4 linked regions of the Oreochromis niloticus genome follow. The protein of the gene in region 1 purifies or fractionates together with the protein of each later gene. This does not show direct contact. Links are inferred from orthologs where the notes say so. Each region holds a gene or a part of one and is shown in the gene's direction. Other genes may lie near its edges. The genes, in order: nup214, kpnb1, nup62l and nup88.

Evidence for each region.
Region 2: the proteins of nup214 (region 1) and kpnb1 purify together in Homo sapiens (affinity purification with mass spectrometry; 3 studies listed by BioGRID and IntAct, with this or other methods). This does not show direct contact. The link is inferred for Oreochromis niloticus from reciprocal best matches to the Homo sapiens genes NUP214 and KPNB1.
Region 3: the proteins of nup214 (region 1) and nup62l purify together in Homo sapiens (affinity purification with mass spectrometry; 5 studies listed by BioGRID and IntAct, with this or other methods). This does not show direct contact. The link is inferred for Oreochromis niloticus from reciprocal best matches to the Homo sapiens genes NUP214 and NUP62.
Region 4: the proteins of nup214 (region 1) and nup88 purify together in Homo sapiens (affinity purification with mass spectrometry; 6 studies listed by BioGRID and IntAct, counting the BioPlex papers as one, with this or other methods). This does not show direct contact. The link is inferred for Oreochromis niloticus from reciprocal best matches to the Homo sapiens genes NUP214 and NUP88.

What each region holds. Positions count from the first base shown.
Region 1 is NC_031972.2:19,143,019-19,150,837, reverse strand, and holds the start of nup214 (nuclear pore complex protein Nup214), read left to right. Parts: upstream 1-4,800; 5' UTR 4,801-4,992; coding exon 4,993-5,034; intron 5,035-5,727; coding exon 5,728-5,923; intron 5,924-6,065; coding exon 6,066-6,220; intron 6,221-6,349; coding exon 6,350-6,548; intron 6,549-6,641; coding exon 6,642-6,712; intron 6,713-6,802; coding exon 6,803-6,866; intron 6,867-7,071; coding exon 7,072-7,175; intron 7,176-7,819. UniProt on the Homo sapiens protein: Part of the nuclear pore complex. Has a critical role in nucleocytoplasmic transport.
Region 2 is NC_031969.2:34,683,143-34,690,883, forward strand, and holds the start of kpnb1 (importin subunit beta-1), read left to right. Parts: upstream 1-4,738; 5' UTR 4,739-5,046; coding exon 5,047-5,086; intron 5,087-5,920; coding exon 5,921-5,979; intron 5,980-7,741.
Region 3 is NC_031987.2:16,402,538-16,409,467, reverse strand, and holds nup62l (nucleoporin 62 like), read left to right. Parts: upstream 1-4,105; 5' UTR 4,106-4,286; intron 4,287-4,405; 5' UTR 4,406-4,411; coding exon 4,412-5,932; intron 5,933-6,023; coding exon 6,024-6,182; 3' UTR 6,183-6,421; downstream 6,422-6,930. Other genes in the region: pdk1 (pyruvate dehydrogenase (acetyl-transferring) kinase isozyme 1, mitochondrial), read right to left, coding at 1-31, 1,132-1,316, 1,406-1,477, 1,579-1,720, 3,037-3,145. UniProt on the Homo sapiens protein: Essential component of the nuclear pore complex. The N-terminal is probably involved in nucleocytoplasmic transport.
Region 4 is NC_031979.2:33,379,448-33,387,057, forward strand, and holds nup88 (nucleoporin 88), read left to right. Parts: upstream 1-4,611; 5' UTR 4,612-4,721; coding exon 4,722-6,881; 3' UTR 6,882-7,328; downstream 7,329-7,610. UniProt on the Homo sapiens protein: Component of nuclear pore complex.

The sequences.
Region 1 (7,819 bases):
CTGTGCCCATGAGCAGAGGAGACTGGATATATGGAGTAGTAAAGAAGTGCACTACACTGGGCGGTAGAAGAACGAATGTTAGAGAGAAGCACTGTTCCACCTCGATGATGTAGTGGTGGTGGTGTGATATGCACCGATACTACGCAGTCCTGCTTCCTACCTGGCTGTTTGTTTGTTTTACTGTTTGTTCTTTTTTTCTTTGGGTGGGTGGGTAAATTATTGAATCAAACTTATAAGAGCAATTTATGCTGGCTTATTGCATTTGCACTCAAAAGAAGGTAAAGGGCCGAGAAGCTGAGGGAGGTAACGTGGACCTTTTTAATTGAGAGGCTGTAACGACAACACCTGAAACGAGTCTCTCTGACAATGACTGTTTCTACGTTTTGGAGAGGGGGTGGGGGGAGCAAAGCAATGTCCAACAGGGACTTTAAACCTGCATTCGTCATACCTGATTTCTTCTTTTTGATATCTGTTTTTTGCCACACAGCCTTTCTTCGTTGTGCCATGCATAGATCTTCCCTATCTCTTTTTTTTCTCCCTATCAGCAAACGAAAGCACAGAGATTCATTTAAGTGAAAGAGAAGCCGCCAACATTTTGGGGAAAGTGGGTTTCTGCTACAGAGAGTGAGAGGTTAAGTTAAGAACTGACAGGCTTAGTACTAATACTATTCTCCAAATATATGCTTTGCCACTTCATGAGCGGGGCCAGACTAGTCTCTGTCTGTGCTCTTGTTTCAGGGTCTGTTAGGGGAAGTTTTAAGATGGCCCTGCACAAGAAACACAGGGTTATAATTGCACTAGGTAGTAACAAAAAGGTTTATAGTGTTTATTTTCTTTGGGAATAAATGCGATCTGCCGTAGATAAAACAAGACTGTGACACGATGGCTGGGATGATGGATGAATGTAATCTGTAGCACTGCTGTGGTGAGGGTCCAAGCTTTGATTTGAGTATAGTAAATTCTACAAAATATGCCATAATATAAAATTAATGTGAGGCTGGGTGGTGTTTAAACCTAAAGCTTTATTGATATAGTGATTTTTTTTTTTTCTTTTTTCAAACCACGAACAGGTCTTCCAGTGTAGTGAACATCGTTATGTGCAAAACTGAGCAAGGTTCACATGCAGTGCAGACTTTTTCCCTCTGTTTATTTGATCTTTTTTTTTAACACAGAGATTTTGCAAATTGTACCTTCATATCATTTTTCGTTTATTATTCTTACAGGTTTTTCTTGCAGGGAAAAAAAGAAAACAATATTCAGTTGTCTATTTGAGCCACTTAAATGTCTGATCACTTCTGGTTATGCCAGTCAGAGTAACAGACTTGAGAAATGGATATGTGTAGCCTTTATTTTGGAAAATATAGAAAGTAGCTGTTATAGCTTCAGAAAAAAAGAGAGAGAAACCTTTCTACTCAGTTGGTAAACTGGGCAATGAGTGTGATATGCTTTGTATTTAATATTTCTCTCTGTGTGTTTTTGTGTAAAATAAATCTTTGATTTTGATCTTTTTGAATAGGCGGACTTTCGCAGAGATACTAAATACATGGGGAATATGAAATCAGCTGCAATTAAAATAAAGCAGTAAATAATAACGGGTGGGAAACATGGATATGTTCCACTGTAGTATTAAAGGGGTGTGGAGCAGTGCCTTAGACTGTGAATGTGTGGGTGTGGATGTGTGCCATTACTTTGTGCTCAGAAGCAAACAAGACCAAGGATCTACTAAATATAGCCAGATAACACTTTTTTTGGGCCATTTTCGAGTTTAAAATTCCAAACTAGTAATTTTTAATCTAATAAATGATATTAATAATGTAGTCATTTATTCACCTTACATTCTTGCTTTATGTTTTCCATCATGTTGGCTCACCAGCCCAGTATTACATATTTACAGCACACCTCTTAAGGAATCTGGTTGAACACCCTTGGAAGAAATTCAAATGAAATCTCATTCGTAGTATAGTCAAGTATAGTCAAACCTGTTCATCAGTTAATCACATTTAAGGTGTGGCGGGCTTTTGTTGTTGTTGTTTGGGGCGGGGGGGTTTTCTTTCTTTTTTTACGCACGGTTTCCTTATCATGCGCCGGTTTTGACCAGCTCATTCACCTTTTCTGCCCCGCTGCAAAACAAAGCCATCAAAAAAAAAAAACAAAGCAGAAAAATAATCCTTTAACAGCACTTGGGGTTTGATCCTTTTCTTGTGCAGGGTAAATGAACGATGTTGCACTATAAATGGAGAATATCATGGTTAACCCTTGGGAAGATTGACGTGGCCAAAAGAGAAAAGTCCAGTTACACGTATGTTATGTATCTGACGTGTTTCTCATTTATATCAAACTTTTAGTTTTTCTTGGATGGTTATTGAATAGAGGGTATTTTATTGCAAATAACTTCTTCCTCACTTTGCATCGGGCTCTGCTCACCCCCACACGGACACTGTAGTTTTTTGTTCCAGTGACTGGCTCATCATGAAAAACAATACATTTATATGCAAAGAGACACTTGTACCATAAAATGCATGCCATTCGCACACTCACCGCAACCCAATGAAACCTCTGATCTTTATGCACCATGTATTTTATGCTGAATAACTCTTGTCACTGTTAGTAAACAAAGATTGAGGTGTCCTGTGGTGAGCAGGGCTGGATTTTTTTATTATACAACCTGGCCTTTCGCTGAATGTTTGCATAAAGCTGAATTTCTTGTATTAATGACAGCAAAGTAGTGACAAAGAGTGGAATACAGAGACCAAGTACACAGTTCAGTGTGTTCACAGCTCAGCACACTCGGAAGAAAATGCACTGAAGGTTTGTATGTGTATTTACGTGTCCTTGTACATAACGCCAGCACTTTAGAACTACTTGGAAAGGTGAAAGGAAAAACACTGAGAGCAACTGGGTGTTAGGCAAATGAGGGGTAAATGCAACTTTTAAAGCCATGTGTTCAGAGCGCTGACAATCAGAATAGGACGAGACCCAAAGTGCACTATGGGAGATACGGTATGACTTGCTATGTGCTCTTGCTGTTTGCTTTGTCTTTCTTCAGCTTGCTTCAGTCTGTGCTAGCTTCCTTTCCAGAGTGGAGGGACATGGTGATGTTATCTCCAGCCTTCTTGGTTATAAGTGTGTGTCTTTACAACCAGGACTGAGTCAAACTTTGGTGCTTTGCAAACAGAGCTGTCCCCATGTTGACATGGACCATATCTGTCATGCTCTGGTAAGCATGTTCTGGAGGTGGTCCTGAGCCCTTTGATGGACAACAACCCTACACCGATCATGGTAATGTTCTTCACTATCAGCTGGGCTTGGATCAGGCAAACTGGGATGGGACAATTTCAGTGTTGATGCCGCTTTATGTTTCAAATGAAAAAGATGTTTATGCGCCTTCTGACTCAAGCATCAATAATATATACAACAGAAATGCAAGTTGCCACTTTTGATGTAATCTACCTTTCATTCCCATCATATTTGCCATCACCAGTTTTAAGTTGTATAGTCCAAGAGTACCCAATTTCTTTAAATGCAATACAGAAAAATCTGCTTTCTAATAAAAGTCCTTACTTCACCATATACTGTCTTTTGTCTCTCTTTGCGTTTGCCAAAGTACCTACAAAAGGATGCACTTGAAATATATTTTTCTCTGGAAGTTGCAATTTATTGTAGCTCTGCATGGCTTCAAACATGTAAGTAATGAGATTCCAGCAGAAAGAAGACAAATTAGTGACAATAATAATTCTCACTGTCTGTGCCACTGAGCTGTGAAATGCTTGTGTCATTAAAATGGTGTTAAATTTTGCTGGATGAGTCACTGGAGTCCCTTCAAAGATGAATGTAACATACAGTATACAGCCAGTTTTATTTCATAAAGGCACAGGTTTAGAATTGCAGGCAACACTGGATCGATCCAAATCAACCATCTTAACCTAAGCATTTCATCTTTATGATATATAAATATTTATATGTACTGGGGGGGGCTCTTATTAAGCTACCACTCATTCTTACAATCTTTTTTAAAATTTATTTTGCTATGAAAATGAGAAATACTGAAGATGCAGCAGTTTATTGAAACATGCATGAATATATGGTATGTGAGGTGAAAGAATGTGTTCAACTCTAACAAGATTGAAAGTCGGTATTTGGTATGACTACTTTTATCCTTGAATACAGCCTGAACTCTTGTAAATTCTTGAACTAGTCTTCAAGGATCGTTCTCCAGGATTCTTGAAGGACAATCAGAGCTCTCCTTTGCTGGCTTAGCTGGCTTTTATTCCATTCCCTGACAGCCACCAGTCCATTTAGATAATTTATGCTGAAGCTTCGAACAGTAGAATTGTAGATTAACTATTAGCCAACACTATTATAAGTTTTGGTTAATGGCTCATGGAAATCACTTTGTTGGTGGAAAAAGTGCTATTATATTACTGTAAAAAGTGTGACCTTTTTAACAGTAAGTAAAAAAAATGCATAAAAGTTATGTTTTCGTATACACACACGTGTGGGTATGTATGTATACATATATGTATATATATACATATATATACACACACACACACACACACATATACAGTACATATATGTATATACAAACTTACACACAAACATAACTTTTATGCACTTTTTTACTTACTATTAAAAAGGTAAAATATATACCTTTAATTATATATATATATATATATATATATATATATATATATATATATATATATATATATATATATATATACACACACACACACACACACACACACATGCCTTTCACTCAACCTTTAATTGCAACTCTGGAACATACGCGACTGTATGAGCTCGTGTTCCCGCAAGCTGCTCTGGTATCTACTCGTCATCCTAGCTGGTTTTTGTTTTTTCTACGGAAAAATCGCGCGGTGTGTGTTTAGTTGTCCTGATGTAGCTAACCAAAACTTTCTGTGGTACATACTAGCAAGAAATAAACGAATACAGCAGGTCTTTTGGAAGAAAAACCCTCAAAATTTCACAATGAGTGACGATGCGGACTCCCCTCCTGAGAGGGAAATGAAGGTATGTCTCTGTTAAAGTTGACTTGACAGGTTAGCATGTGTAAGTTACCGTGTCAGTTCATCCTCAATGTAGTGGCTAGTTTAGCTAGCTAGCTAGCTAAACAAGCCACTTGTCGTGGGTTATGTTTTCTGGTTTAGGTATCCTTAGCCTCACGATATTTACTGAACTGTAATGACTACTTTGATACGATAAAACATTAGAGACTTTCACAGCGGTTTAAAAGCATTTAAATTAAAAGTAGTTACGGCAGTTTCATTCATGCCATATTTTTAGCCCGCTACTTAGGGTTAGCACCGTAGCCGGTGTGATGTTGTGCTTGTAAAGTTAAACGCCGCTGTGTTGGGTGGATTCGTCCTATTAAATTATGCATTTGTAAAATAACGTGTTCTAACACACGTTGCATTTTTTTTATGTTTAAGTTTTATGTATTGCTGTAATATTACAACAAGCCTTGCACCGATAGCTAACACGATATTGTAACGTGTTAGCATTGTGCTAATTGAGAGGCATTACAAACATTTGGCTTTGAGATCACCCTTCAGGCTCACCAGCTAGCTTGTCAACAATGTTTATTTACAGTTTGTATTATTCTGTCTCAAAGACGCTGCGTTTGCATTTACCTAAGTGGACCCACAGTTGTTAACAGTTCATAACAGTTTACCATGAAATGAAAGTGTTTGCCTTTCGTTTTAGGATTTTCAGTTTCGTCAGATGAAGAAAGTCAGAGTGTTTGAGCCCACCGAAGATTTGCCAAAAGACAGATCCAGCCTCCTTGCCATCTCAAATAAGTATGGCTTAACTTTTGTGGGGCTTGACAGAACTTTCAAGGTGTACTTAACTCGAGATATTCTGGCTGCTGATAAAGGTGATGGCAACTCCAACGAAATAGGTATGAATCCACTACAGTTTTAAATAGTGCAATAATGACAGGTTAAAAACACAATGTTGTCATGACTGATACACCACATGTTTTATGTCATTAATAATTTTTGCTGTTTCACTGTCCACTAACATCTTCTTCCGTATTTTAGTCAAAGGAATACCAGTACTGGCTGAAGTGACCGTGGAACTAGTTTTGCACCACTTGGCTCTCAGTTGTGATGAGCTCACACTGTCCGTGTGTGGCATGTCTGAGGAAGCTGGCTTGTCACTCACATTCTATGATGTCCGCACGTTCATGAACAAGGTAGTTATTTCAGTCTGTCTACCTAATGTGCTAACACAGTCGAACAGCTGCTGCCAAATTTCACCTTGTCTGTTAAATGTAATGATGTTGTCTGATTTTTGTTTTAATTTGCATTCTTTGCTTTTCCAGGGAAAACTACAGAAGCTACCATTTGCATTCCACCAACCAGCTGTAGCACCTGACGTCTTAGTGCAGGACCTGAAGTGGAATCCTGTGCAGGTGTCTGTGTTGGCTGTCTGCCTCTCTGATGGCAGTATAATGATTTTGGATGTTACTGACAGTGTCAATGTGCAGGCCAGGCTGCCTTCTTCAAGTGGAATTACCTGCAGTGAGTGACACTCTTGACATAATTGCTAAATTTATCTGCAGTCCATATCGGTGATGTGGCTCAGTAGTCGTTTACTTGCTTTGTTTACCACAGTTTGCTGGAGTCCAAAGGGAAAGCAAGTAGCAGCTGGAAAAATGGATGGTACAGTCACGCAATATACACCAGTAAGTTATTATAATAATTTTGAATTAAAAGCAAATTGCTTAACAGCCTGTGGAAGCTACAGGAACAGATTTTTCTCCTCTGTTTTAAAGGGACTGGAGGAAAAGAAAGTTATCCCATGTCCACAGTTCTTCACCCCTGGCGAACCTGTAAAAGGTAAGGTAGCCATACCTATGTATATAAATTTAAACTATGAAAATGGTCCATACACTAAGGTTTTTATCTTGGTGGTGATAGATTAGTAATAGATTGCAATGATTCCATAAAATATTTCAAATTGTATAGGAAAAGGAGGAGCTGAGTCTTGCTGTTTCGTTGATGTTCCAATTTCTTGTCTCTCTTTCCTATTTGTCTCTCACAGCTGTGGATGTACTGTGGCTGAAAACCTATGTGTTTGCAGTAGCATATGCTGCTGGAGATGGCTCACTTGAGACCCCCCCTGAGCTAGTGTTGATCTCACTCCCAGTAAGTATGCCAGGCATTGGTTTTTAGATAGATTTTTATCTGGGTTTATCAGGTTTATAAGACTCTGGTTCTACTGTCGAACTGCTGATCAGAGTATGAAGCTCAGTTAAGACCATTTATGGGTACTGGGGGAAAAAATCATCACTGCAGCTCAGTTATGGAGAAAGGAGTTAAATTCATTATCCACATTTTCATCTTTTACCAAACTTGAATTTTCCTTGCTTGCGTTTCTAAGTTTTATCACATACATTTTAAAATGTATTTATATATCAGCAACATGACAGTGATAACAATTCAAGTAACAGAGTTAAACACATGTATCTAGCAGATTAGTTATTGATCCGTGAAGTGTGTGAAAAAGATAACCAAGGTTCAAACTGTAACAGTTCAATTTATACTCAAAATATAAATGCACAGCAGTTTTTAAACATTGTTTACAAATATATTTGTGTATTTATGTTTAACATAAATACATTTAGATTATGGTTAGGAATTCATTAGAGCTGCTTTTAAGTCTGGAAATCTACAAGTCATTTGATCACAGTCATCTTTATTCAGAAATATTCACATCATCCCCACATGAAGTGAAACAGAGCTGGAATGATCCAGCAAACTGATCATCACGATCTAATTGTTCATCATTA
Region 2 (7,741 bases), on another chromosome or scaffold:
TGTGTTCAGGTGTTCTTCCTCCCTCTGAGCGTGTGCGTGATCAGACTGATCACGCTTTTTGAAACTGAGCCTCAATCATCCCTGTTTGATTTTATACTTGTGTCCATCACCTTCGATCAGCTTCCTCTGATCAATCATCAGTTTTCTCAGGAGTATTTGTTGTCTTTGATTTTCTGTTTTCTATTTATTTTGTGCCACAGCAGCGCTTCCATCCACTCCGATTGGAGACATTCCTGTTTTCTGGCTGCTCACACTCCATTTGATCAGCTTCCTGTCGTTGCATCGTTCAGATTACTTTGAGAAATATGAATCTGTTTGCTGAAGAAACCTATTTCTGCCAGGAAAAGAAAAACATGGATGAACAGTCCAAAATCGAGTTTGCAGAAGCACGTCTGGACTTGTTTTATAAATCCTGTGTGTGTGTGTGTGTGTGTGTGTGTGTGTGTGTGTGTGTGTATAATCTTGCTTTTGTTTTAATAATCTTAATTTAGCATAGACTTATTTTATCATATCCCTAGTTTTTCTTATGATTTGCCATCAGTTGATCTTGTTTCTTGTCGTGTTCTTGACTCGTCTCAGGTTATTTCTTAATTTTAGTCACTCTGTAGTTGCGACCGAGAAAATCAAGATGATGACTTTGGGTCTTAAGTTGTTTCATTCATGAAGCGTTTGTTTTCTTGGCTTAAATGGGCTTCGGTCGTTTCTTGTGGGCGTCAGTTATGAAAAAGCATTCAGTTGTATTTGAGCAAAGTTTTGTTTTGTTTTTTTTCATGTTTCCATGGATAAAAGCAGGGAATTTCAATTATAAAGTCGCACAGATGTTTCATAAATGACGTCCAGATGCTCAGCTGTAACTGTTGGGTTTATTTTTCTTGATGTATGTGAACTGCCTGAGTTTCCTGTGGGTGGAGGGTGATGTTCAAAATGTTTTTTATTTTGTGATGTTTGTATTTTAAGATGTACACGTCTGCGACACATCAAATGGCCGATCAAATCACAGCGGTTTTAATGACTAAAACTTACTTTCAGGATAGACTAGAGTAAATGGATTGCCTTGAGCCAGCTGGCAAGTTGGTTAGCTGCAGTCAGTGCTGCTTTACCTCCGCTGCTCAAATATCACTCAGACTATTAAAACTAGTGGACAAAAAACGTCAAATTAGTGAAAACGTCCTCTAGCTAACCCACATTAGCGACAAGACCCTTTTTAATTTAGGGATTTATTGTTGTTAGCCAGCTAACACGCTAACACTAGCTCTTTAAAGATAAAAATAAAAACTAAAGAATTGAGTAAATTGCATAGAGCAAAATAGCTAATAATATAATGTTGGAACTTACATGAGAATCTGGACAGGAATATTAAAACCTGAGGGCAGGAAATAATTTGTCAAGTTAATTTATAACAGCTAAAGATAACAGAATTAGTTTTAGCTAGCTAAATTATTAAAGTATAAACTAAAAAATAAAAAAAACAAAACACTTTTTTTTTGTTAGGGAGATTTTTATTTATCAATAAGCTAACAAGCTAATTCTGTTTAATTTTAGCTTTGAAACTTGTCAGGAAAATTCCAAAATAAGCAGGAAAAGGGTTGGATTTATCAGACTAGCTGAAGTTAACTGCAAAGGCTGTAGAGGTTTAGGGTTGGCTGGGTAAGAATACCTGATACTGTTAAAGTTTAAAAAAAGAAAATGAGCGGGAAAATGGCTACATTCTTTAGGCTAGCTCAGAGGAGCTAAAATACCCAGAGGTTTAGCTAACATTGATTCAGAACTTGGTCAGAAAAATAAACGTGGAGGAAAAGATTAACCAGGTCTAAAAGTTTAGTTTTTGTTTGTTTGATATTTTTGTTTTTTTTGTTTGTTTTTTTTGTAATGATTACATTCTCAAGCTAATTGGTGTTAGCTTTTTGGTTTAGAGTAAAGTGTTCACGTCTTTCTGGGGACATGATCGTAACTGTTTACTGTCTGCTATTAGTCATTTTCTGCTGTTTGTTTTAAATATGTTAACCGTTGCCGGTGTTCAATTCTTAGGAAAAAAATGCAGCATCAGCACCTTCTGTTAGTTGGTATGAGTGAATATTGCAGCGCTGCAGCCGAGGTATCGCAGTGTTTCCTGCAGCAGTGCGTCGACTTTGGGCTGCTACCGGCTGTGAAATAAAAGTATTATGGGTAAATTTCAAATCGCCTGTGACGCCTTGTTGTGCCATAAACGCACCAGATCAACTGTCAGCATATGAATGGGTCATTTTTTTTTTTTAAACATATTTTATTTTTTCTATTTGATGAGGGGTTTTTTTTTTTTTTCTTTTTTCTTGTTTTGTTTTGTTTTGTTTTTTCGTAGGGGTGGCGCCTCGCATGCTCTCTGCCGCTTCAGCTAGCAACAAATGAGGAGGTCAAATGTGACTGGACGATAATTGCTAAGTAATGAAAACTGTTTTCGAGTCGGACACCTGCGCTCTCCTCTTAGTAAAAACTGAATCATGTGGTGTTTGATGTCCTTTTTTTTTTTTTTTTAAAGATGCACTGGATCATCATCTTCATCTTCACCTTTTGCCAAATGTAGTTTTTGTTGTGAAAAGGGGCATTTTATCCTGTTTTCCCTCTGTTGGGTTCTTTTTATACTTTGTCCATGACTCTTCCATTGTGTTGATGTTAAAAAAAAAAGAGGAAGATGTTGGAACAAACGGTAAATAGACACAAAAAGACCAACTCAAGGCAGCTACGTATGAGTGACTACTGTAAAATGACTAATAAAGAAGCAATGGGTTTGTTTTTCAGCTGTGTCTCTTTATTCAGCTCGACGTGTTTTATTCAGACTTTTCCTGCGTCACTTCACCTGCACTCACCTGGCTGTGGCCTCTCTCCTCTAATTATATATTTAAAAAATCAAATTATGGAGCACTTTCCTCAAAGTCCTAAAACAGATCAACACAGAGTCAGACACACAATCATAAATGTGTCAGTATGAATGTCTGCAGCTGCTTTTAGTAAAAACCTCTGAATCAAAGTCGAGGAGTGACACCCAACCCCTCTCTCTCATATATATAAAATTTAAAAGCAGAACATTCTAAATATCCTGTCACTGACTGGAGCAGACCGGGATGAACACAGGAGGTTTTCTGGGTTTCCGGCTCGTGCTCGAGTTCTCCAACATCGTGGAAGAACGTATGACTCTGGTGTTATCTGTAACAGCCTGTTCTTGCAAATCCAGGAGCCCTCCTCACCAGAGCCATGTCTACACCTGTCCATCACCCATCAGTCCGAGTCCAACTTACACTGGCAGCTGCAGGTCGGCCTGATGATGTGTCCATGCAGTGAGGTGATATTTCCACCAGGGCCACAGAGCGCTGTCACAGTTCAGTTTTATTCATGTCGCTCTGAGCCATCACGACGGTGTCTTGAGACCTTTTAATCGCGCCTGGTTTCAGAACTCGGAGATGATGATGGAGATGCTCGAGGCTTCGAGACAGGACCGACTAACAACAAGATTCCGATCTCTCCTTCAGGAAGTCCTTTCCTTCAGCAGCACTTCTTGCTGCCCTCTGCATGATTGACCTGAACGATCACTTTCTGGTTCAGGCCTCACCACCTCCTCGCAGCTCGGCCTCCCACCAGAGATGAGGAGTCCAGGCAACAGAAAATAAAGTGAGCTCTCCTTTAATGGAGGCCACAGGCAGGAGGACGGAGGAGGAGCTTGAAGATCGAAAGGCTTTGACGACCTGAGGAGAAGCTGCTGACAGAACTGCTGACTTCCTGTAATTGCTTTTATACAGCGCTTTCATGTGACGTCATTGTTTATGTTTTTGTGTGTGTTTGGTGTCTTTGTCTTCTTCCTGTTTCACGTCAGTCTGAGGACAGAAAACATGACATTGTCCTGCAGCAGGTTCAACGACACACTCACAGACACGTGATTTCAGCACAAACCAGCAGCTGGAGCGCAGAGCAGCTACAGGTACCAGTACAAGTACTTAGTTACTTGCAGGAGAGACTCCGTACGCCGAAAAGAAGCCAAGAGGTGCGTGCTGCTGCTGCGTTCTGTGTAGCTCGGAATCCACAGCATCAAAAGGGATCTTTGAAGAAAGAAAACGTTTTCAGCTGAGCAAACTTTAGCACAATTACTGCGCTCAGCGTACTTTTTCCTCCAAACGTCTCATTTTGTCAGCTTTGGGCTCCATCCACCTCCCATCGGGAGGAGGCCCCGGGGCAGACCCAGGACACGCTGCAGAGATTATATGCTGACCTGAGAACGCCTTGGTGTTCCCCCGGATAAACTGGGGAGAGGGAAGTATCGGCCTCTCTGTTTAGGCTGCTGCCCCTGCGACCCCGCTCTGGATAAATGGAAAAGAATGGATGGATGGGTTCTAGTGGGAGGAAGGCTGGAGCCTATCCCAGCTACCAATTTAATTTAATGGAAAGGTATTTATAATACTAACAGCTGTTCGACTGCAATGTAAAAGAAAATATTTTCAACAAATGAATGAATACATAAAAAATAAACTGTGTAGAATGAGATATTATGTATTTGTGTAGTTTAAAAGTGATGTATGATATGTATATTTTCAGTCATCAGCTCCTGCTCCTTTTCAAGCATGGATGCAGTGTTATTTTAATTGAAAGGAAGGTTTGTGTGTAGGAAATGAATTACTGTTGCACCATGTGTGAAACAAAAATGAAATGAAATCTCAGTGTACTGAGACAGGATGATATGGTGTCCGGCGGTCCCTAAAGGCACCACGTTTTCGGCGTCACTGCGTGATATCCCTCCGCGGGAGAGAAGCGCGCGGCCCTTTCCCTCCCTGTAGCACAGGATGCGAACGGGCGGAGGTGAAGAGACGAGACGTGACTCTGCGCCGACGCTGTCAACATTTCCCGCAACATCAGAGTGAGAATACGCCGAACGAACACCGGGGAACCTCCGCCACCTGTATCACCAACTCAACCCGTCCTGTGCCTGACAACGACCGAGCTCCGTGGAAGAAATATAATCCACTGTGGGCGCTGCGCGGCAACCGAAAGTGTCGGACTGAAGAGAGGCAGCCGGGGGAAGGAATGGAGCTCATCACGATTCTCGAAAAAACCGTCTCTCCGGGTGAGTCCCTGCACCACGCACCGCACACAGCCGGCGACCCGGACCCGATGCCGAACCCCGGGCCGGGGGGTGCGGTGTTTGCGAGACGGCGGGCTGCCCCGGAGCACGGGGGAAAGTTGGAAGCAGGGAGGAGGGAAACCATGCTAGCTCACTGTGCTAACCCGCTAGCGTTACGGCCTGACGCCGCTGGTGACTTAGCACTCTTCCGGGCGTTTAAGCACACTTTACTGGCATTGGTAACTCGTTAGCCTGTGGACGGGAAACCAGAAGACGCTGTCATATCGTCATCAAGTCGATTCGGGCCCACATAGGCCGTAATGCCGGCTGTATGTCCCCAATCAGAAGCCGCGACCCTGCCCATGCCCGGGTTAGCCGCTAGCTTCTTCGCTAGCTCGGGCCATTCAAACTGTCGACCGCTTTCTCGGTGTGTGCTCCCGGGTAACGCCGCTTTAGAGTCGCCGCGGGTACAGGCGAGCGCTCTGGTTGTGAGGTGACCTCTGCTCCGCTGCTTTAAGCGGAGTTGACGAAGTTTTAGCGGCTCCGCTGTTTGCACATAAAACTTCATGCGCGTCTCTGGAAACGTGTCGGCTAGCTTTAGCCTGCTAGCAGAGTGCAGGTGGCTAGCGCGCATGTTGCAGGGTCGGTGTGCTTCTCGGTACCACAGAGGGCTCTCACCGGGGTGGGAATTAAACTTTCTGACTCTGAGGTGACTCATTAGTGCGGGACATCGACCCCGGGCCCAGGTGCTTGTGTGTGAACGTCTGCTGAACACGTTTAACCACCGTGTGTTAGCCCGTCCGCTAACCAGCCCCCTCCTCTCTTCTCTGTCCGCAGACCGGAATGAGCTGGAGGCGGCGCAGAAGTTTCTGGAGCAGGCGGCCATAGAGAACCTGGTGAGTATGGAGGGAGAAGCAGTCGGAGCTCAGGCTGCTGCAGGAGAGGAGCGGACTGGGGCCGAGGACTGCTGGATCCCGCCGGCTTTTCCTCCTTCCTCCTCCCCTTCCTCCCTCTGCACAGGCGCACACGAACACACGCACACACACTGTTCATAAATGTGTCACAGTGAAAGCCTCTGTTGGCTCCTGATATGACCGTGCCAGGGTCTGCATGCTTCAGCCACTTCAAGGTCTTCATCAGAGGGCGAAGGTGATGCTCCCACACTTCTGCATACCCTTTTTGTGGTCCTGACCTTTGACCTTGCCCTCACATACTATTTAAGTACAGATGTTAACTTCAAGCAGAACAGGAAGTGGTTCGTAGCAAGTATAAATATGTATGTCCAGCGACTATATCTCTGTAAACACCCCGTAAACGGGCTGTTTCTGCTGGTCACATGACAGCAGCTTTCTGTGACCAGGTGTGACCGGCAGGTGTGAGCAGGTGGCTCTCTGTGAAACATCAGTGTGAGGGTCACAGCTGTTCCAGGGTCTCTGTGAGGGTTGGAGGCCGTCTCCACGGGTCGCTCATCTTCAATGTGTGGTTAGTTTTGACTGATATTCTGTAGTGAGGGCGGGGCTTGATGAGTTAGGGTGATGTGGGTACGTGGTTTACTTGTTACTCAGGGAAATGTTTAAATGTGCTTACAGATGTGGTGACTGGCATGTACAACTCCAACTAAAAGGTGCAGATGGTGGGGGAGTTGGGGTAGGGCCGGTGGGGTTTGCAGTAAAGCCGCCATGGGGCCGTGGCGGTGTGCGGTGTAGTTTGTGACCACGTGGGTGCTGTTGTCACGTGTCACTGGGAGACCAGGTGAGCCATCCTGAGCAGCAGGTTCACCTGAAGAAATGTGTCTTCCTGTTTATACGCACAGACACTCCTAATGATCGTCAGCTGCGTGAGGTGATGTCATCGTCGGACCAATAAAATCAAAGACGACTTTCTGTAGTTTTTATTTTGTAGTTTTTGTAGCGTCAAGAAGATAAATATCAGACTCTGTAGTCACATGACCTCGGTGTTAGAGACAAAGGTGAGAACAGTTACCGTTTATCTTGCAGTTATAAATGAAGCCCCGCCCCTCCGCTTTACAGTGTGTTGACAATAAAACCGTAAACTCGGCAGAGTGTAACCTGACCAGGTCCATAACTCCTGCCACACGCCGCCATTGCGGCCCGAGAGACCACTGATCTAATATTTAAAACTGACTCAGTTCAAATCCAGATGTTTCAGCTGGATCGTGGTTTCTGCATGCTAAAGAACATCTGCATACACACAGTGTGCTGCTGTGGTCGTCTGCTCACTGCAGAGGAACAGGAAGCTGTCTGTCCAGAGAAGAATAAATGTTCTCGTTGGAGCTGATTGAGAGCACCTGGACACCTGCGTGAGGCGTGACGCTGATGGCGTCCTGCAGACAGAAGAAACGTAGTTGGCAGTTCTTTGCTGTTTGCCTCTGTCTGCGTGTGCTACTGCCACCTTCTGGCAGCAGGAGCACGCTGCATCCTATCAGGTGTGAGGGGAAAAGTATTTTAGTACAAAAATATCTTCACCTGTTTTCTTCTCTGGTCTGATGTTAGTTGTAGCTCGCCGTCCTTCAGCCTGAAGCAGAGCGACGGGGTCAGGTGTGCCTCACCTGACTGGCAGGATGTCTGGAAGCAGAGTGAGCGATCCGATCACTAAGTCTGTGTTAAATGCTCCGCCCAGCAAACTGACACAGACTTC
Region 3 (6,930 bases), on another chromosome or scaffold:
GCAGGATTCACCTTCCCTCCGAAGAGCAGAGCTACAGAAAAACACACAATATGAACAGTTTGAAGTATTAATACTTACTGATATTTGTCTCTGTAAGTTCAGGGTTTAATGTGAGACCTTTTGATTAGAGATAAAACAAAACTGAAGAGCAGTACCATCCTGAGGAGGCCTGAGCCGTAACAAGTTCTTTCAGTGTCACCATGTGCAGGAAATTCTAATAAAATCTTTGGTTGAAATTCCATCCACTCATCACTTATCTGGGTTCAGGTCACGGAGTCCACCCTAAGCAGACATGCCCAGACCTCCCTCTACCCATCCACCTCCTCCAATTTATCTGGGGGGACATTGAGGTGTTCCTAAGGCAGAAGAGAGCCATAATCTCTCCAGCATGTGCTAGGTCTCTTCCAGGGCCTTCCCCTGGTAGGATATACCTGAAACACCTCGTGCACTGATTAGGCATCCTGATCAGATGCCACTTGAACTGGCTCCTTTAGATGTGGAAAAGTGGCAACTCTACTCTGAGCCCCTTCTGAATAACTCAGTTGGGGCTATGTAGCCTGCAGGAGAGAGACTGGTGGTCAGGCCCACTCTCCCGTGGGTCCACCACCCGCAGGAGGGGCCGTAGAGGTTTGGTGCATTGTGGATTGTGGAACCCAGACCTTAACCTAAGAGACCTCAGAGAACCAATAGAGCAGCTGTTCAATTAAATATGAAAATAAAAGCATTAACACCCACAAACAAGCAGCAGCTGAAGGCGGCTGCGGTAAAGACATGATAGAGAATCTCAAGGGAGGAAACACGGTATTTAGTGATGTCCAAAATAAGCCATATTATATTTATTTATCTACAATGTTTTTATAGTGTAACTTTAGGCAAGTGAGCTTGTTTTGGTCTTTGCTGTCTGTAAACAATACACAAGTCATTTAATTTTCATGTAACTGCCAGAAAATGACACTGGGTGGGGTCAGTTGATTCCGGGTTTACTGTGGCAGCAGTTTTAAAATGATGCAGACAGCCTGAAACCTCAGATATCTTATCAGCACAGAAGTCTGGCTCCTGAACCCGAGGGCTTTCATTTCCAAACAAGTACAGCTCAGCAATCACATTACAAAAAATATAACATGTGCTCACTGTGCTGGTTGAGCAGCATCCTGATGGAAATCCTGCTCATGTAGAAGCGATCCAGAAAATACTGAACATTCTGGCTGACGATGGGATCTGTGCCGTACGCCTCCTTGTACTCCACAACGCCCTGAGCCATGGTGGGAATGACATCGTTGTGGCGATTTCTGATATTTATCACAGCATCTGTGAAACTAATTGAAGACATAAAAATTACAGCAATGCGTGAAAAGAATCTGCAGGAATAGATGAGCTGTTGCAGTGGTTAAAAGAGGAAACCTACTCATATGTGACTTTCTCGTCGTCTGCATTTTTGTCTTTGAACTCGAGAATCTCCTGAAGACTCTGCATGTACCTACACGGAGGAAAATGATCTTTTTGTATTTCACAGACTGGCAGGAGTTAAATACTGTTAATTCATTAAAATTAAGTGGAAAAAAAGGAGAACCTGCATACCAGCTCTGGACCAGTCGGACTGATGGGGTCCTCAATAAGTTATCTGGCAGCAAGTTAATCTCCTTCATGATGTTGGCTAGCCTCACAGGTAACTCCTGTCTGAGGAAGTTGAAGGATGTTTTCACACATGCATTTTCTGAACCTGAGAGAGAAACAAAAGGCTCAAATGCCACCTTACTACAGTAAAGGGATAAAGTGTAAAATAAAACAAGACAGCTGTTTCTCTGTGTGTAATATTAAGCCTCAAGTCAGCCTCATTTTTTAATATTTTGCTTGAAGAATGGGAAACAGGTAGAGCAAACATGTGCAAAGATACATAGAAATACAAATACACAAAGGCAAAAACAAGTTTGATAGTCCATACTTCAGCAACACAGCCTGAACTCTCTTTGTTATAGTTTTTCCCCATTTCTAAAGGACATGATAGTCTAAGGAGCTTGGAAAGAAAGCGAGTGGACTTCTGTAAGTTTCTTGAAGAAGTGGGTTTTGTCTTTTAATTTGGTCAAACCTCTTAAGGGAGAACTCCCACAAGGGATTAAATACTTGGGACTCTCGGGCATTTGGTTTTGGAACTGAAGAAGCCTCTCAGATGCGAGGTGAAACGTCTTCAAGACACTTATAGAAGTCCAGTCACTTTCTTTCCCAGCTCCTTAAACTACCATGAACAGGATGACTGAGAACCTACAAAGACATCTGCTGCAGATAGTTTTTATAGTTTTTTAGGCCTGGCACTTCTTTTTTGTTCCCTACTTGTCCAGTTTCCAGTTTAAACAAATGCAAAGATTACTATGAACCCTAATAAAGTCTGTCCTTAGAAGCATTACTCAAATAAATATACACTTTTGCACAATCCTGTAAATGTAACATGATAAAAGTTTTTCCATCATCAAGGCTGGATTACATATCAGATGCAAAACTACCCCCAAACCATTCAGGCTCCATAACCTCTTATAAACTGTAAACTTTCCATAGTTTCAGCAAACTGGACCATTTTCATCATGAAATAGAGAAAATCAACCAATCAAACAAGGGCCTAACCTTCATTCTTACATACAAGTGTTCAAACTTGACTTACACAAACAGGGCATATATTATATCCCATTAGTCATGTGTGAAGAGATACTTTAAAATCCCTTCCTGTTAAATACAAGGAAGTGTAATAAGGGGATGCTAGATGATTTTAAGAGTATCATTCGTCTTGTGAAATACATTCTTTTGGTATCAACTACCTTTACATGACAGAAGGAAAAGCTTGTGTTAGGACTGTTTGTATGGCAGTTATCCTCGGTTTAACTTTACATTAGTTTGTTTTTTCTATTTCCATATTAGTTAGTTTCCAGAATGTGTATGAATCATACACGTTGTATGAAGATTCTCCTTATTTTAGGTCAAAGTATCGTTAACGATGTTAGTAAAGCATTATGTTAGTAAATATCTACTAGTCTTGCAGCTTCTTACCAAAATCCAGAAACTGCTTCATTGATAGAGGGGAGGGTGAGAATTTGGAATAGTAGTCGATGTCCTTCCCTATGGACACGCTGCTCCTCAGAAACCTTAAAATCCTCATGCTTGCACGTTTTGTATTGCCTCACCTCCAGCTGTGACTGCTGCTTAATAAATAAATAAACAAACGGTACTCTTTTTTTAGGTTTAATCGCAGTTAGCATCCACAGCAACAGAGCCTAGCGAGGGCTGCAGCTTGGTTTGCTAATCTGTGTTGACACGAGCTTGTTAGCTAACCTCAACAGCCTGCCAACACACAAATAATTAATGATTTGCTTTTTCTTAATTTGGTGCCGTTTCAGCCTCCATTCTCACAGCTCCAGCACTGTTTTCCTAAATTGCCTTTAGCTTCTCGTGGTGGGATGCCTGGAAGAGGTAGAAAATTGTCACCATGGAAAGGAGAGTGTGCGGCCAGTAAGTTCAAAGAGTCACAGCGACGTCAAGATAAGCTACCTCTTCAAACAAACTTTATTGACCCAAATTTGGTGTAACGTTATTGGTAAACGTTACACAGCCAAACTTTTAACGTTGAAAGAAAATCGAGGAGTTTTTCAGAAGTTCCCGTAAAGTTTGTGAACTGGTTTCTTGTGGTTTTGAAGCAATTTTTTGAGTTAAGCTAACATAGGCGTGTGCAACTATATAGAAAAATATTCGTTTTGCTCTAGAAAAACGTTATAATAACGCGCCCTCTTGTTACTTAAAATTATTTGTATCTTAACTATATAAAACAATGTTCATTTTATGTAACTTTCGATTTTGATGGGAAGTGGGAAGCAGCTCGCACTGCGTACAAACGTAATACCTCTTGTTGTTAATTTGGTCTTTGATAACTTGAGCGTACTACTCTCCGACGTATGTCTGCCAGGTGACAAGCCAAACCAATCAAAGTTCGAGTTGTCTGAAATTATAATTCTAATTGGTCGTTAGACCTGCCAATATTACTAAGAAAGGCGGGTTATACTCCGCTAGACAAAATACAGGGCAAAGAAAAAGGTTATCTTTCACGCCAAACGCCGTCATTTCCTGTAGTTGACTACCGAACTGCCTACTTGAAAAAGTGTCGAGGCGGCTGGCCACGTTTTAAGAAGGATATGTTGCGATTTTTTTATCATTGTTACGATTAAAGTAACATTAAGAAGGGTGTAGTCAACTTTATTAGACCCCAACGTCTAGAAAGCCGTCGTAAAAGAGAAGCCGATTCTTCGGTAAGTTCCCCCTGGTGTGTGTGTGTGTTTGTGACCCGCCAAAAGCCAAATGATTCAGCGAGGAAGTAACCATTTTGTGCGTTAGTCGATTTTAATAATGTTATTGTTTTATCTTTAAGGAGAAAATGAGCGGTCCATTCACCTTTGGGCAGCCCTCTTCGGGCTTTACTTTCGGAACGCAGAAAACCACAGCCTCGGCCCCGGCCCCGGCCCCTACCACCGGCTTTGGACTGACAACGTCCACTCCTGCCACCGGAGGGGGCTTCACTTTCGGCTCACCCATCCAGACCCAGAGCACTACCAACCCCTCCGGTGGTTTCAGCTTTGGTACCCCAGCAAAGTCCACAACAGCCGGCGGGGGTTTCTCTTTTGGGGCACCCACCACAACGTTTGGAATGAATGCAGCTCCTCCAACCACAACAGCAGCTTCAGGGTTGACTTTAGGCTCGACGGCGACTCCAGCAGCAGGGTCGGGGTTCACTCTGGGTGCAAGTTTGTCTGCGCAGACCACCGCTACTGCACCTGCAGGAGGGGGCTTCACCTTTGGAGCTGCATCTCAGGCTCAAACCCAGCCTATAGCAACAGCCGCACCGGCGGCATCCACAGCCCCGAGTGGTCTCGCATTTGGAGGGTTCAGCTTCGGAGGTCCCAAGGTCCAGGTGACATCAGCGGCAGCCTCCACCACCACAACTAACACCAGCACCACAGGTGGAGGCTTCAGCTTCGGCACCAGTGCTCCCTCCAGCCTTGCCCAGCCAACCTCCACCGCTGCTGCTGCTGCTGCTGCTGCCGCCGCCGCCACAACAGGCCAGGGTGGAGGGTTTAGCTTTGGGATTAAACCGTCATCAACCCCAGCTCCTCCTGCATCCACCCAGGCCCCCCCATCTTTCGGGCCTTCTCTCTTCGCTCAGCCTATAACAACAGCTGCTGCCACAGCAGCAGGTCCTGGCTTCGCTTTCAATGCCGTTTCAGCTTCAGCAGCAAGCACATCCACAGCAACAACCACGGCTACTGGTGGAAGTTTGACTTTTATGATCAAACCTCTGGTTCCAGCAACCACCACATCTGCCCCCGCCTCTACCGCTACAGCTGCAGCCTCCACGACGGGTACTGTTACAGGCTTCTCGCTGGGACCCAAAACTGCATCGATCGCAAGCACCACGACAGCTGCTTCAGCCACAACCACAGCCAGCACCACCAGCACAGCTCCTCCAGTGATGACCTATGCCCAGCTAGAGGGGCTCATTAACAAGTGGAGTCTTGAGCTGGAGGACCAGGAGAGACATTTCTTACAGCAGGCCACTCAGGTGAATGCCTGGGACCGCATGCTGGTGGAGAACGGAGAGAAGATCACATCCCTCCACAAGGAGATGGAGAAGGTGAAGCTGGATCAGAGGAGGCTGAACCAGGAGCTGGACTTCATCCTGTCCCAACAGAAGGAGCTGGAGGATCTGCTCTGCCCCCTTGAGGAGTCTGTGAAAGAGCAAAGTGGAACCATCTACATGCAGAACGCCGACGAGGAGCGTGAAAGAACATACAAGCTCGCTGAGAACGTGGACGCACAGCTGAAGAGGATGTCGCAGGACCTGAAGGAGATCATCGAGCACCTGAACACGTCCAGCGGCCCGGCTGACACCAGTGATCCGGTAAGATGACGCCTCCAGTTTTTGATAATCGATAAGATTAACAAAGATTTGCTCACGTAATTCATGTCTAATTTCCTTTTTTCATCATCAGCTGCAGCAGATCTGTAAGATCCTCAACGCCCACATGGATTCACTTCAGTGGATCGATCAGAACTCTGTTCTGCTGCAGAGAAAGGTCGAGGAAGTGTCCAAACTTTGCGACACTCAGCGAAAGGAGCAGGAGAAAACCTTCCGATTAACATTCGACTGATCTGCACTAAATACTTTTACTTGTATGCTTACATTTTTACTCTGTAATCAGAGGTGTCATCAGGGCTTTAGATGGTGTAGATCCAACCCTCATTACTGTTATTTTGAGTTTTCTTGGTTGCATAAAGATTGATATTTTCAGTGCATTTGCCTTTAGAGCAGTGAAAATGATCCTCTCTTTCTATGTCAATTGTTATGTTTGTTCTAAAAAGTCTGATTAAATAAACCTTTGGAATGGAAGTCGTTTTTGTTTTGTTTCTTTTAATTATCAGGCATTAAATACATTCTTTTATATGTCAGAGGGAATGCTTTGTTCACACATACGATGCCCCTGTAATAGCTGAATTACAGCTAAGCATATGTATTTTGAAAAGAGAGGTGTGGATGGAATTGATTTGTTGTATTTACAGCTTTAAGGTTGTACAGTAAACAAAAAACAAACTGTTGATGGACAAGTAAGGCAAACATGAACTTCTACCACGCTGCAGGCCCCTCTGGTGCAGACAAGCCATATCTCTTATTACAAAAGATAACTGTTTTTTAAAGGTTGTCAACATGGCACATTGAACAGGCCACATAATACTTCGACTGAAACGGATGCAGGATTTGTTGCTCTTTAGTTTTTTAGAGTGGCAGCTGAAAATTTTTACATCAGTAATAATTTCCTGCAGGAACCTTTTGGAGATACTCAAAGCGCTTCCATCACAAGGATCAGGGTCTAACTTAAGTTTCTGGGACTTCAATAAAGT
Region 4 (7,610 bases), on another chromosome or scaffold:
TATAAAGAACACAACACTAAAATGCCAAGTCATGCAAAAAGTTTGTTTTATGAATCATTTATTGTAGATCAATGTGTTTACAAAATGTCTAGTGAGGAAGAGTCGAACACAAACTTCAGTGGCAATTTTAGATACAAGGCAAGGGCAATACATTTATTTTAGTTCTACCCAGGAGAAAACTTTGTATACAAAAAGAATTTGAAGTTCAGGAAAAAAAAAATGGTGAGATTGTTGACAATTGTTTGACACTGAATACCAAAATGAGGGTGATGACTTTAAACTTTCTTACAGTTGAAAAAGAAGAGACCCAGTGTTTTAAAAAATATCTGGGAATGACTAAAGAAAACTAAAGTTTAATGGTGGACAGATGGTATTTTGAATAAAAGAACCAGCTTTAAACACTCAGACCCTCACATGTCTGCAATATAGATATTTATATAGCAACTGCTAATTAGACCAAAGGTGATATTTTCAGTGGGTTTTTTGTATTAAAATAAAAACCAATCTGTCAGACTTCCAGGTAGATTTGGGAAAACAGGAATAATGGATGCCAGTTGATTTGTGAGGCATAGGAAACAAATAAACCATTCTGGCAATAAAGGAAGTCATATCCCTTAGTGAAACTGTGTTTGAGCTGACTGGATGTATACTGGACCAGTGGCGTGTTTGTCTGAGTGCATCTGTACATGGTTGAGTGTGTTCCTGGGGGCGGATTACACAATCATTTCCAGCTGTCGTGCGTATTCGATGACCTGTTGTGCCAGCTCAGTAGAAGGGATGTTCACCTCTTCTGTCCGCTGTTGCTGATTGGTGAAAGAGTAATAGCCATCTGCACTCAAATTCCATCCTCTCTGAAATGGGGAAAAATGTATTCATTTAAACAAATAAAAATAAAACGAAAATCAACAGTTACAGATTGCTCATGTAGTTATTTGACTTATTATAATTTAATTATAGACAACTTGTTAAGGAACATCTGAAAACAAACAGTAAAATTTATCTTTTCCATCTGATGTTAATCTTTATGGATATTACTTATTTTTCAGGTTCTGCCTATGCACAAGTTTTATCTAACATCTGGAGGGACATTTTCTGTATCTTAACAAGCCAGTTTCTGACAACCCCCCTCCCCATATCCAATCATAATGACATCTACAACATAACACGTTAAATAAAAACTAACTTAGACTTTACATAAATATTTCAGGCACCAAGGCCACCTGACAGCCAGTGTTTACCTAATAAATCTTAATAAGCATTTGCATAAGCAACAGAGTTAAGCAGAAACTTAATTTCTTTAAATCATGTTATCACAGCAGGAATCTAATGTCTCCTCCTCATAATCTCTGGATTCGACTACAGGTTTGACTCCCAAATAAAAACAGACTTACCTTCTTGGCATACTCTGTCATCTTTTTAGGGGAACTGAAGAAAAGCACACGGGTAGCTTCACTGAACTGGATCTGCTCATACGCCTTCTCTATGCAACCTGCAATCTCATCGCTGCAATTGAAAAGGTCAGCTTTAGTTAAAGTCATCTTCAAAGGACAGAGTTGTATTTTTAATGACGTTTTATACATTTCTAGATTATTATGCCACAACACCGTGAAATAAAGTTGTTTTTTTTCCAGAGTTCACAGTACAAATTAAGAAACATAAAAAATTAGACAAAGACAGGAAAGATGTTGTTTAAGAAGTTGTTTAAACTGCCATCTATTTCACATTTGCTCAGGTTAAAGTATTGGTACAACTATGAGAGTAAAATAAATCATTGTGTTTGTTGTGTTGAGTTGTCTTTACACTATTCGCTGTAACTATGTAAAATAGGTGTGCAAAAACTATTTTTAATCTAACTGTTGTTATGTGGTTGTAGGCTACTGATAAATATTTTAAAATTTACAGCGAATGCAGAATGTGTTAAAGGCATTGTAATCATTACGGTCCTTACCGAATTGTGTCCAGAAGAATATCTATAAAAAAAGGTGTAGCTCTCAGCAGGGATGTTGCCTTTGGCTAGGAACACTTTGTTGTAGCTTCCCTCCATCAAGTACTGAAATTAGCAGAGAGAGAATAAAATATTAAGATTGCATTTACATCAAAGTTACTATAACAGGACTTAAATTATTGTGTATAAGTAAAACTCCAATAAGCCAAGCATTTGTCCAAATAAATATTTAGTTTGTGTAAATTAATATATATACACCTTCAAATACACAATGGGTATAAAATATCAGAGCACACATTGATCTATCTCAGGCCAAAAGCAATCTATTAAATCTTAGTGAAGCATATAAAGGAATTACTGCAAATAGCAGTCAAACATAACCCTCTGGTGCAACATCTACTGTAGGATCAAAACTATTTTACAAATGTAGCTTCAATAATTTCAAGTCAACACTAATGCTAGCCTGACACTAATGATATTAGTGCTTCATCCCAGCTGACTGGTAAAAAAAAAAAAAAAAAAAAAAAAAGTCATCTGGAACCTTATATCACTAATTTTGAGCAATTTAAGGGTACAAATTTCCAATTGGACACACAAATTGTTTTTTTTTCTTTAACACCTGATATTGCACAATAAAAATCATCCAAATCAAAATCAGGCATTGTCCATGAGTAAGCTATAGCACCTGCTCTAGAGACACTGGGTGTCTGATGTACACGTTGGTCTGAATATCTCTAGCACTCAATCTTTCGAGTTCTGTGTGAAACTCAGAGACGCGATTCTGCGAAAGCAGGAAGAGCAGGTTCAGTCCAAGTAACTGATGCATGTAGGCAGCTTCAGGCAGCTCTTCTCTAGAAAAGAAAAAAGAAAAAGATGTAAATAATTGCTTCAGTTACAAAAAGACCTCAATCTTGGGCAACAAATTCTTTAAGAGAAAGTGGCATTTACTTGTAATCAAAGTAGTAACATTTTAGCTGGGCCATGTATCGCTCAAAGGATGGGATGTCCTTCTTGAGGATGCTCCATAAGGCTCCGATTTCAAGGACATCACCTAAAATACAAGCATAAATTGTACTTAGAAATTATTTTGCAAGTAACTTAAAAAGCTGTTGTGTTAACTTGTGGCAGCTTGATTTGCAGGTACTCACGAGCTAAAATGAGCTGCTGCTTGGTGAGCGAGGATCCACTGGTAGGTAAAAAGTTCAGATCCAATAATGAAATCTGTTTAAAAAAAAAAAAAAGATAAATGTAACAATGTAAATCTAAATTACATTACATATTATTTGTAACAGAAGCAAACCCCAAAGTTGGTTTTCATTGAGTTCTAACAACCTACATAACCTTATAAAACGTTTATTTTGATGTCAGACTCCTGTTGAAACTTTTTTCCTTTGTTTCTCAATCAAACTCTGTTTTTAAAAATTAACATTTACATATACAAAGCATCTCAAAGCCAGGGTTATCTCACAAGAAATAAGGAAGAAACAAGGAAGAACACAAGATAAATATACAGAGGAAAAAGCAGAGTTACTTGTACACATTAACAATCTAATTTATCAAAGTTATATTTTATTGTAACCGTTTTTTTTCCTTTTCAAGATCCTTAACGCTAGTGCTGTGTTGTAATAGTTCCTAATTAAAAAAATGAATAAATCAAAGCTTGACTTGGAGATGGTCCATCTTGTTTTGTTTTGTGAATGTGAAATTTCCCCAACATCATCATTAAAACCCACCAGAAGGCAGTTGTCCAGTAGGATGTCCTTAGTAAACGAGGACAGCAAACTGGTGACATAATGAACCAAACCAAAGATATCAAGAACCTTTTTTGTTTTTAAGCATTGAAGAGAATGCTAGTTGTGTATAGTTAGGGGGAACATTTCAGATTCCCCTTGGAATGCACTTGGTTATTACATTTGTATTTTTTGTCATTTAACAAGAAGCTGCAATGAGCTCTTTATCTCCAAGTGGCTGTACCATACGTGGAATTGATTGAATTGAATAGGTGTATTTTATATATGGGCTAATATAACTTTCATAACAGTTGCTTCTTAATAGAAATATAATAGATTTGACTGACTTTGCCTTGCAAAACTGTTTGTATATACGAACAATTTTTGAATACGAAAAACATCTTTGCTGATGTCCTTATCACGGGTCACTTTTTTTTTTTAAAGGTTCTAATCAATTTATTGGGGCACCTCTTTTTAGTGATACCTGCTTCAACTCGGCTTAAACTTACCAAACAGAAAGCTGAGCTAACGAAAGGTACAGTGACGTTAGCTTTCATTGACTAAGTTAATCATTTGTTTCATCATTATCCTAAAATGATGATATTGTTCGATCCCTCTCCAAACATTTGTTTGTAGTTAGCAAGTGAAAACTCTACACTATTCTACCAAAATTAATTTAATTATCGATGTTTATCCAGTTGCTCACGTTAACGTACAGCGTTAGCTGGGCTAGCGTAAGTTAGCAATCTGTTTGCTAACAGTGCTAACGTTTACAAATAGAAAGACTTCCTTCCTACAATCAACCCTGGACAAGCAAATGTGCGACTTTACCTTAAGCTTACTCAGAAGGTCTCCACATTTGTTTAGGTTTGGATTTTTCTTGTTCCATTCCGTTTTAAGTGTCTCATACAGCCCAGCGGTCTCTTTCAGCGCCATGGTGATTCTGCAAAATATACGACACCGGCCACCGTAACACGTTAAATGACTGTCGTGAAAAAAACTAAAACACGTTACTGCTTCCTTCAGAAATCAGACAGTTGATCAAGATGGCGGCACTCAATTCAGAACAGTGGCTGAATGACTTACCGAACCACACGATATTCAAAATAATACGCGAGAAGTTGGATTTGGAGCGCACCTCGAGTGAAAGAGGGATCGCTAAGAACCTCACGTTTTGTTTGGGAGCGGATTTTTTCGTGTGGGACGATTCAGACCGCGTGTTTTACACAACCAACCTGCGGCAGTTAAACACAGAGGAGAGCTCCAGTAGCGGGAAGTATCAGACCTTGCTGTGCATCAACCCGCCGCTCTTTGAAGTGTGCCAGGTGCTGGTGAGCCCGACACAGCACCATGTCGCGCTGGTCGGTCAACGAGGCGTCTCGGTCCTGGAGCTTCCACTGCGGTGGGGCAAGAGGTCCGAGTTTGAAGGCGGACGCAGCAAAATCAACTGCAAGACAATCCCTGTGGCGGAGCGCTTCTTCACCAGCTCACCGTCGGTCAGTCTGCGACAGGCGGCTTGGTACCCTAGCGAGACTGACGAGCCACATATGGTGCTGCTCACTTCAGACAACACGATCAGATTTTACGGCTTGAAGTCTCCGCAGACATCGGCCAAAATCCTGCCAGTGTCGCAGTCAGAAGATGAGAGCAGCCTCCACCCTCCGGTGCGTTCGTACGCAGCTTCTCTGGGAGAGATAGCAGTGGCGTTTGACTTTGGGCCGATTTCATCCCCTCCTCGGCAGCTGCCAGGACAGGTCTCCAAAGACCAGCTGGTCTACCCTCTCTATATTCTTTACGAAAATGGGGAGACCTATGTGAGCTACACGAGCCAGGTAAACGGTATAAGTCTAAGTAAACCCGTTGGACCTCTCCCCATGTATCCAGCAGCAGAGGATAACTATGGCTATGATGCTTGTGCCATTCTGTGCCTGCCATGTGTTCCGAGTATCTTGGTCATCGCCACAGAAACGGGCACACTGTATCACTGTGTTGTGCTGGAGTCTGAAGAAGAGGACGACACGGGGGCAGTGGAAAAGTGGATCCGAGGCACAGAGACAGTGCCAGCTCTTTATGTGTTTGAGTGTGTTGAGCTAGAGCTCATACTTAAAGTGGCAACGGGAGAGGACGAGGAGCCGCAAGAGTTTGATTTCACCTGTCCAATCAAACTGCACAGAGACCCCCTCTGTCAGCATCGGTATCATTGCACCCATGAAGCAGGAGTGCACAGCGTGGGGCTAATCTGGGTCAACAAGCTGCAGAGGTTCCTTAAATCAGATGAGGAGGATAAGGACAGTCTCCAGGAGCTGGCTGCTGAGAAGCGCTGCATCGTAGAGCACATTCTTTGCACCAGACCGCTCCTGACCAGTCAGTCGGCTCCAATTCGTGGTTTTTTGATTGTGTCGGACCTCGCCTTGGGCGCCACCATGATCTGCATCACCAGCACTTACGAGTGCATTCTGTTACCCCTTCTGAGCTCCATTCGCCCTCCCTCCCCTCCCCTGCTTTGCTCCCACCCAGGTCTGGGCTCTGCCAGCTCCCCTCTGCGTGGGCTGGCCGAAGACTCCTTTGAGCAGCACATTCGCAACATCCTGGCACGGAGCTCCACCAATCCTCTTGTACTTAAAGCTGGAGACAAGGACACATCACCACCACCTCCAGAGTGTCTGGAGCTCCTCAGCAGAGCCACACAGGTGTTCCGTGAGGAGTACATTCTCAAGCAGGACATGGCTCGTGAAGAGATGCAGAGGAGGGTGAAACTCCTGACAGGCCAGAAGAACAAGCAGCTGGAGGAGTTGTCTCTCTGCAGGGAGGAGAGGAAGAGTTTGAGAGAAGCAGCAGAAAGATTGGCTGATAAATACGAAGATGCAAAGTATCGCCAAGAAACCATTATGAACAGGGTTAAGAAAGTGTTGTGTAGCCTGCAAAGCCAGCTACCCATACTGTCAAACAGTGAAAAAGAAATGAAGAAGGAGCTGCAGACCATCAATGATCAACTGAAACACCTGGACAACTGCATCAGACAGGTGAACATGAAGATGGAGTACCAGAAGACACAAGTGGACAAGGATATGCCCGGAACTAGGGCAAGAGTCTCTCTCAACGCTCCCCAGAAGAAGGTTGTTCAGGATGTCCTCAAAGAACAAGGACAGCAAATTGGTGACATGATGAAGCAGATCAAAGACATCAAAAATCATTTTAGTTTCTAAGCACTGCAGAAAAATGCTAGTTTTTTTCTGTATAGTTGGGAAAATATTTCAAATTTTCCATGGAATACACTCAGTTATTACATTTGCATTTTTTTTCTGACATTTGTTAAGAAACTGTAATGAGTTCTTGAGCTCTAAGTGGTTGTGCTATGTTCTTATATGCTATATCTTATATGCGCTAGTGTAACTTAACCTTTCATACCAAATGTTGTTCCTTAATACAGAATACAGAAATACAAAAGGTTGGATTTTCTCTTACAAAAAATTGTATATTTTTACATCAATATTTTTTACATGTTAATGATTGAGTCACTAACATACTCAGTTTAATGTCCCATGTATAGGCAGGAAAAATTAAAAATAATTTGTGCTAAACTAACCTTATACAGCTGTTCAATTTTGTTTGCTCACTTTTTTGCATAAAAAAATAAACTTGAAATTATTCAACTTGTTTGTGTCTCAATGTAGGATGGCTACAAAAAGCAGAAATATTAAGAGACAAATCCAAGTTAACAGTTTTATATTGAGGTGTATTAACTGACATGTTCACAGCTGCTGGTTGCTGTATTTGCCAGAGTACTTGGAGAAACCCCGTGTAAACAGGGGGAAGATGCAAACACCACTCAGAATATCCCAGTTAATAATTTAACTGCGAAAAAAACAAACAAATGTGAACCGAGCTAAATAATCCACGTCCTGGTAAGATGTTTGAACTTTTAAAGGAGGCTA